Oryctolagus cuniculus: one gene and its partner. The protein of the gene in region 1 interacts with the protein of each later gene in a pairwise test. Links are inferred from orthologs where the notes say so. Each region holds a gene or a part of one and is shown in the gene's direction. Other genes may lie near its edges.

Region 1 (3,804 bases):
CCACAGAGATCACCCTCAAGGCTCCAGGCTTGCAAGGGATGGGGTGCTCAGCCTGTCTCCTCCGCCTCCCTTACCCTATCTTGTTTCTTTGCCACTCGGAGTTGATGTCAGGGCTGTCCTGTCCCCAGCCCCACTCCCACTGTTCTCTCAAGAGCCGAGTGGCTCTGCTTCTCCTGGGACTTTGATGCCACTCCTCTGGTATCTGCCTCTGACCCTTCACCCCTCCTTTCCAGATTGGGGGCACCAACTTTGCAGCACCCCCCACCGCAGCAGCACCAGCCAGTCTCGGAGCTCCCATTGGCAGTGGCCTGAGTGATCTCTTTGACCTGACCAGTGGCGTGGGCAGCCTCTCAGGATCCTACGTGGCCCCCAAAGCAGTAAGAACCTCAGCTCCTCATCCTGGGAGCACAGAGACGTTCTGGACACAGACACGGGGCTCCCTAAGCGATCTGTGTGTGGATTTGGCTCAGACCAGTGCTCACGCGGGAAGTGGGTGATGGGAGTCCAGGGGAAGAGGAACTAAGTCAGGTGTTGGGGAGGCAGGGCTCCAGGCCCAGGGCACAGCTTAGCGGGGAGACCCGGAGGTGAGGGAGAGCCCGCCTTGAGAGAGGGACCGAGTTGCCAGTGCCATCAGCCCCCATCCTGGCTGCATGGTCCATTCACACACAGAATCCAGAGTAATGCTGTGCTGTTCTCCATCAAGACAGCATGAAAGGAAGAGAACCCAGCTCGGATTTCTGTGTTAGCACTGGGGCTGCAGCAGCTGGGTGCGGTGCAGAGCGCAGTGCCAGTAGTTTGACGTGGTGACTGACCTGTCAGTGAAGTTCTGAGCAAGACCAAGAGCAGGCTGCCCAGGACTTACGCTCTGCAAGATTTCAGGGCGCCTTGAAACCTCACGGAAGGTGCTCCAAGAGTGCAGGACAGTGCTTGTTGTGAGGGCCATTGTGCCCATGACAAAACCCAGCCTCCCTGACTCTCTGTCCCACAACCTGGTGCCCCTCCCATCACACCTCCTGAAAATGCCCCACACATGCCCACTGTACTACAGAGGCAGCACCACACCTGGGAGTCCTGGCCAGACGGCAGGTTAGCGAGGTGAATGCCGGGACAGTGGCCGGGGCGAGGCTAGCGCATTTGCTCTTGACCCTGCGTTGCTGGGAGACTGTAAGCAGAGCACTGGAACAGTGCAGTTTGTACTTGGACCTGGCTGTGGCTCTGGGCGAGTGTGGAGCTGGCAGGAGACCGTGGAGGAATGGATGGGTGCTGCTGGTGGCCGGGACCAAGGAGGGTCTCTGGGGGTGGAGTGGAGGCTGGGCTTGAACTCCTGGGAGAGAGGAGCAGCAGGACGGGGGTGGGGGGCCGGTGCGTGGGGGCTTCTGGTTTTCTGGTTTGAGCGGTAGGTGAGAAAAGGTGCTGAGATGGGACACAGGGTGTTCCGGGGCTGAGGAAGGGCAGTTGAGTTTGGAGTGCGAGACCCTGTGGGCCTGGCATCAGTGTGGATCACATGAGCATCAGGGAATCTGCCAGAGAGGCGGGTTTGGCCAGATTCCCTCTCTCTTCTGAGGGCCCCTCCCCGGGAAGAACACTGCGTAGCTTCAGGGACACAAGGAGATACGTCACGACTGGAGAGCCGTGAGCCAGCACCTGGCCTGCTCTGCCCTGACCTCAGCCATGATGTGCTGGTGCCACCTGCAGTGGCGCCCTGCCGGGACCTGGGTCCTGAGAAGCCACGGCAGACAGCAGCTCGAATGCTAGCCGCCGGCTGCTGTGCCAGCCCTACGCTCCGTCCCACTGACTGCTCCCAGCAGCTTTAAGTGCTGCTACTCCGTCTCGTGGTTGAGAAACCGGAGTGCTTTTTGCCTGGGGTAACTGCTGGTGACAGCCTGGAACTGTGTGCAGGGTGGTGGCACAGTGTCTGCTCCGAACCCTGTGTGTCTGTGCCCGAAGTGTTTGAGAGCCACCCATGCACTCACCCGAATGCCAGCGTTGTCGGGCAGCAGGATCTGAGAGCACTGATGTTGAGCAGGGGTGGGGAGTGTACGGCCCGCGGGCTGTATGAGGCCTGGGAAACCACTTGGTCTGGCTTTGCCTAGGCAACCACAGGTGGGACTCGAAATTCAATAAATCTACAGCAGACTAATTTTTAGGTTGATCATCGTCTGTGGCCCCAAGTGATGCTGCAGGTATCCAGATGGCCCTTGGCAGAAAACATGTCCCCCACCCTGATTTAGAAGGTGTGCGTCTGTCTTTCTACACGGGATTGGTGCTACCAAGTCATGAGGCTGACCCAGGACTGTTAAAAACCCAGGATGAGTGACAGAACAGCAGAGACTCCTGCAGCCCTGTGGGTGCTGGCCATCAGCTTGTGTGTTGGTTTGAAGAGATGTCATCTCCAGTTTTTCTTAGTAGAGAGCCATGTGGGTGAAGCAGCAGTGAGCACTGGGAGTGAGGCGGGGGGTTGTGAGTCAGGAGTGATGAGTGCGGGCTGCCTGGAAGAGGAGCCCTCGCAACAACGGAAGAACCTTTCTGACCACCGCAGTCAGAGGTTCTAGCACGTGGGTGCGCTCACCCTCAGGAGCCGCAGGTGTCAGCCGTTTGTCCCTCTCCTCGGGTAAACTCATTCTCCACTCGCCCCAGGCAAGAGGGGTGCAGCTCTGTGTGACCAAGAACATTGAGTTCCTCGGGCATTTAGGTCAACACCGAGGCTGTGCGGTGAGAGTTCATTGGTTCATCCAACAAACAGAACCTGTCCTAGACTCTAGGAGCTTCCAGGTTCCCACCCACAGCCAACAGAATCAGGCACTTGTGGCTGAGGCAGGAGCAAGTCTGCCGCAGGAAAAAGGAGGCCTGGTGGGGGCAGGGCTGGGGGAGCGGGGCGGGGCAGCCAAGGTTGTAGCCTGCAGCTGGGAACTGACAGTGGGGACCCCCACCCCCACTGGTTTTTCAGGATTAGCCAAGTAAGGAGGGGTGGGAGGCATTTTCCCAGCAGAGGAGACAGTGGGTCTCAGGGGAGATGGAGGGACCAAGCCTGTGGCAGCCATTGCAGTGCTGGGAGGGGTTTCCAGGCACCGTGGTCACATTCACATTTTATGAGCTGACTGTGGCTGCTGTGGGCAGGGGAGAGAGGCTACAGATGGAGGAGGGCAGAATTGAGGCCCTCAGGGCAGGTACAGGAGCCACAGTTGACAGGACTTGGGCTGTGACTGCTGTATGTGGGTTGTTGGCGCCAGGTGCACTTTGGGAAGCTGTCAGGAGAGACCAAAGCCCTTTGACATTGCGGGGCGGGGAGTCATTGAAGGGAGAGCAAGGCCTGCAAGGCATCTGCATGTTCAGAGTGACCCAGTGCTGCCCTTTGTGGGCAGGGCTGTAATTTCTGCTGTTTGCCCTGCAAACACTCCTCAAACACTGGCTCCCACCAGGCTCCAGGCCATGGATGTCAGGACAGTGGCAGAGCCTACCCTCTGGGCCATCTGGGTGCAGGGTGCTGACCCAGAGGATCGTGACTGGGGCATGAACACGGGGAAGTGCCCGGAGACAGGCTTCCCAGAGGAGGAGGCCCTTGAGACTCGAGTGACAAGGGCAGCCAAGCAGCAGAGGGCCTGCCACACGAGGGCTCCTCCTAGGTACTGTCCTTGCTCTGACCAGTTTCTGCGATTCTGGGCCAGCCCTGCCCCCTGCACAGTACAGGCTGTGACAGCTGGGGTGCCGCCGGGCACTTCGCTCTGTCCTTGGCTTGTGCGGAGACTGGCAGGGCACACTGTCTGGTCGTCTCCTCAGCCCACTTCCCCCATATCCTTTTCTGAC
Region 2 (4,301 bases), on another chromosome or scaffold:
GAACTTTTGGGTGCAGTGGGAGGCAATATTAGAAAGGGAAGGCCATGATCAAAAGATAACAGGTACTTTCCCGAGAAATCAGTCTGCAAGCTGGATGTAGGAGAGCCTCTACGAGGGCAGGTTGCAAGGTCAGTGAAAGGCGTTGTCTCAGCAGCCCAAAGGCTAGGAGGCTGGCACAGAACCGGACCGTTGACTCCTTCCGTTCAGAAATGGCCGAGATCCTGCAGCCAAGCACGCAGCACAGTGCCTGCGACACTGCAGGGAGCTCAGAATACGTGTAGAGTAGCTGCATGGACAAGGAAAGCTCGCAGGTGGCAATGGAGAAGAGGAAGGACACCTTAGGACCTCTGACGGTGGCCAGTTGGCTGTCCCTTTTAGAATCAGGCCACAGCTTGGCACCTGCTGGAGCCATACCGGCTCTCTCTCAGGCGCACCCCTCCCGTGACCCAGAGTCATGCTAGCTGGCCTCCCCAAGCCATTTGCCCACCTCAGCGTGTGCCCCCCGCGGCGCATTACGCATCCAGCTAGTGCGCCCTCCGCACAGCACCCTACTCACAGTAGGCCCGCAATACAATTCGCAGTAAAGGAACTCATGAACGCATAGATTTCCACACTCCAGCAAGATGGGAGAATCGCCAAGCTCTGGACTTGAGACTTCTAAAATGCCCGGCACACCGTGCGCGCCCCAGAAGCACTTGTTGAGCCAAACCGAGCCCCTGCGGTTGTCCCAGCTCCGGCCCGGCGGCGAGGTCTGCATTTGGCTAGCCGGACAGGCTCCGCCACCACTCATTCTTATGTAAGCGTTAAGGAGCCTCCCGACCCTCTGGCCCTCTCTGCCCGGTCAGGAGCGTCCGCACACGGGCGAGGGCGCGGCTGACACACACTCCCCCTCGGTCTCGGTTCGCCACAAAGCTCCTGAAACACCGCAGCCCGCTCCGGAGCGGCGGCCAGGGCGTCGTTCCCGCCGAGGGAGGCCTGGCCGCCCGTGCCCGGCCCCTCACGGCGCCTTCGGGCTCTGGCGCGCGGTGCCCGTGGCCCGCCGAAGGTGTCCGCAGGGTCCCCGCAGGCGCCCGCACCGCGGAAACCGCACGTCCAGCGCTCGGCACCCGGCGGCGCCTGAGCCCGCGCCCCGCCCGCCTGCGGTCCCCACCCGCCCCCCTAGCACCGCGGGGCGCGAAGATGGCGGCGCGGCGGCCGCGAGCGGCTGAGGCGCTGTGAGCCGGGCTGGGCCGGCGAGGCTAGAGCGGCGTCTGGGCCGGCGGCGCGGCCTCCTCCCCGCCCGCCGCCGCTGCCGCCGCCGCCGCCGCCGCCGCGCCCCGCCCCGCGCGCCCGCCCCTCCCCGGGCCGCGGCCGAGCCCCGCGTCGCGCTCCCCCGGGATGGCCCGCGCGCCTCGGCGCTGCCCAGCGGAGCTCTCGGCCGAGCGGCGGTGGCCGCGCTCCGGGCGCGCGCGGCGGCGGCGGCGGCGGCGGCGCGGCGCGTGAGGGCCGCCAGGGCCGAGCGGGCGCCGCCAACATGTCGGATACCAAGGTAAAAGTTGCCGTCCGCGTCCGGCCCATGAACCGACGAGGTAAGGAGCTTTCTGCTGGTTGTGATTTCTGCTCGGGCTGGGGGCCGGGGCAACTTTGGGAACTGCTCGGGCCGGCGGAGCCGGGGAGCCGGGGTTCCGGGCGGAGGCGGCGGTCGCCCGCCCGCCCTGGCCGCGGAGCCGGGGAGCCCGGGCGCCGTCTCCCGGCCCCGCCGCCTCCAGGACGGAGCCCCCGCGCGGCGCGGCGCGGCGGGCTGGGCGCGGATGCTCGAGTTTGCAGCGTCGGTTTCCCCTGTGCTTTCAGAACTGGAGCTGAACACCAAGTGCGTGGTGGAGATGGAAGGGAATCAGACAGTCCTGCACCCTCCTCCTGCCAACACCAAACAGGGAGAAAGGTACAGCGCGCACGGAGCGGGCGGGAGGGGGACCCAGGCTCTCCGGGTCCCGCAACTTTGAGCCGGGAAAACGGGAGTGCTCTTTCCCTATTGTTAGGGGGACGGCTTCAAGTTTGTCTCACGCTCCTCTTTGACGCGGCTGCAAGTCCAAGTTCTTCTCTTTCCTCTGTGCACCCCACCCCCTTTCCCGGTCCCCTCCCATCTGCAGCGGTGTCAGGCCAGGCCCCCAGGCCGCAGCCAGCGCTTGTCAGAGAGTGCGGGGGCCGGATGGGACCTGGAGACCTGCATTTTACAGTCAGGGAAACTGAGGCCCGGAGCCGGCAATGACCAGCCCAAGCCTATTGTACCTAGGAACCAGTGCACTACCGCATAGGTTTGCTTCCTTTAGCAGAGTTGTGTAGGGACGTTGCGTGGAAAATAGGTGGAAAAAGAAAGCCAAGCGTTCTTGGGTGATGCGAGCTCAGGCTGGGCCATTACCAGATCTGTTTTTTTGTTGTTGTTGTTCGTGGTGGTGCCGGGTGAAGATAATGCCTGAATGTAACGCGCAGATTCTGATTTTCAGGGAAACAAAAGTAGTGACCTGAACTGTATAGACACTGGGGATGTTTAAAAGGGAGTTGTATTTACTAGATGGCAACATATTTGCATTTGAAAAGTGGTAACTGTTGGATCTTTATAAATTCTGCTCTGTTGCATGCAACTGTATGGGAAAATGCCCTAAAATGATTTGAATATTTGGCATTTTTCTGGTGCGACCGTGAGAAGGAATGGGTTGGGATTCATTCAGTGCAGCAAGGCAGTAGCTTGTAAAAAATATGAAAGAAAAAGCATGAGATTTTACAAAATTCTTTCTCGAATGAGTTTGTTTCTGAAAGTCACCTGTTGATTGATGAGTTACACTTAGTGAATTTTGCTGTTCAGAGAATTTTTTTTTTCACTAGAGACTATGAAGTAGGGTTTGTTATTTTATTGCTAAAGATTGCAAGTGCCTCTGTTCTGTAATCATGCCTTCTGTCGCAATTGTGCTAAGTTGGAGGAAGAAAATAATGAGGAGGTAATATTGGAAATTCTTTGTTTTTTGTATTGGGTCTAGCAAGTTTTAATCCCATTTGCAAACATTCTGCTACTTCTAACAGATTCTTATGGTGATATTAAATAGCTTAATTATACTTAAAATGTTGCATTCAATACATTTTAGTAATTGTGTATCCTTGGACATTGGTTATGTTTAAAGCAATACAATTTCATGTTGGTAGCAAACTCATTGATTAAGTTACAATATTTACCAATTAAATTTGATGTCCACACTACCAAAGTTTGTTCCCCTCTCCCCTAGACTGGATATAGTTACATTGTTTCAGAAGAAAGTTCCATTGGGTGGGATTCTTCAAACCACTCTGGGAAACAGGTAGATGATTTTAATTCCTTTTATGTGGCTGCTGCTTCTGTTTTCCCTGCTGGTTTGGCACCTGCTCCTTGTCACTCTTAACCCTCAGGAGTGCCATTGTCAGTTACTACTTAATGAAATTAAATGTGGTCATTTGTGTAGAGGAATAGATTTTGTGGAATTTGGATGGAATGTATAGCTGTAGACAGTTGATTCCAAATGCTAAGTATAATTAGTTGATCATTTATTTGTAGTTTGTCACATTAATTACTACTCAGAATATGTAAAGACAAGACTTACAGGGTGATTTTGGTATTCATCCATTGCCTTGCTTACTGGGTAGTTTTAAGAACAGTGTTGAAGTATGCGTGTTCTCTTATTCTGTCCTGGCAGATCTGATTCTTCAAGTGGTGGATGGACCCTTTTTGTGGGGTTCACTCAGTGTACCGGCAGGTCATTCAGTTTACAGGGATCTCTACACAGCACTGCTACTTGTTGATTAAGGTCCCCAAATGCATTTTGATTTCCATTATGCAGTTTGGTTTCCTATTTCTCTACAGAGTTTTTCCTTAAAGCAACAGATCAGTTAAAAATAGAAACAGCTTGTCCCTTGGGCTTTGGGTTGATTATTTGCAAAAGTGTTTCATGCTATATTTACAGTTCTTCCTATCATTTGTTTCTGGGTACAGCCAGGGTGGGGTGAGGGTAAGCCAGGAGAATACTGAGGATGTTCTTATTTTTCAAACCAAAAAGTCCAAGATTTGACATGTAAGAAGTCTTTAAGTAAATGCATATTGGCAAGCCTGTGTCAAAATGACAATTACTATATTTCTATGCAAGTTCATGAAATTACCAGCGTATTAAACATGAGTCAAAATTCTAATTACTGGATAAAAGTTTTCAGTCTTCCCAGTAAAACAAGTGAGGGTGCATTGACTTCCAGGAAAAGAAGTAGACTGGCTCAGCTTTCATCATCTTCCCCTCTTTATGGAA

The links.
Region 2: the proteins of AP1B1 (region 1) and KIF13A interact in binary tests that used the Homo sapiens proteins (3 or more experiments, as listed by UniProt). The link is inferred for Oryctolagus cuniculus from reciprocal best matches to the Homo sapiens genes AP1B1 and KIF13A.

Annotation. Positions count from the first base shown.
Region 1 is NC_091452.1:22,751,672-22,755,475, reverse strand, and holds part of AP1B1 (AP-1 complex subunit beta-1), read left to right. Parts: intron 1-233; coding exon 234-377; intron 378-3,804. UniProt on the Homo sapiens protein: Subunit of clathrin-associated adaptor protein complex 1 that plays a role in protein sorting in the late-Golgi/trans-Golgi network (TGN) and/or endosomes.
Region 2 is NC_091436.1:145,194,728-145,199,028, reverse strand, and holds the start of KIF13A (kinesin-like protein KIF13A), read left to right. Parts: upstream 1-1,336; 5' UTR 1,337-1,513; coding exon 1,514-1,568; intron 1,569-1,830; coding exon 1,831-1,921; intron 1,922-4,301. UniProt on the Homo sapiens protein: Plus end-directed microtubule-dependent motor protein involved in intracellular transport and regulating various processes such as mannose-6-phosphate receptor (M6PR) transport to the plasma membrane, endosomal sorting during melanosome biogenesis and cytokinesis.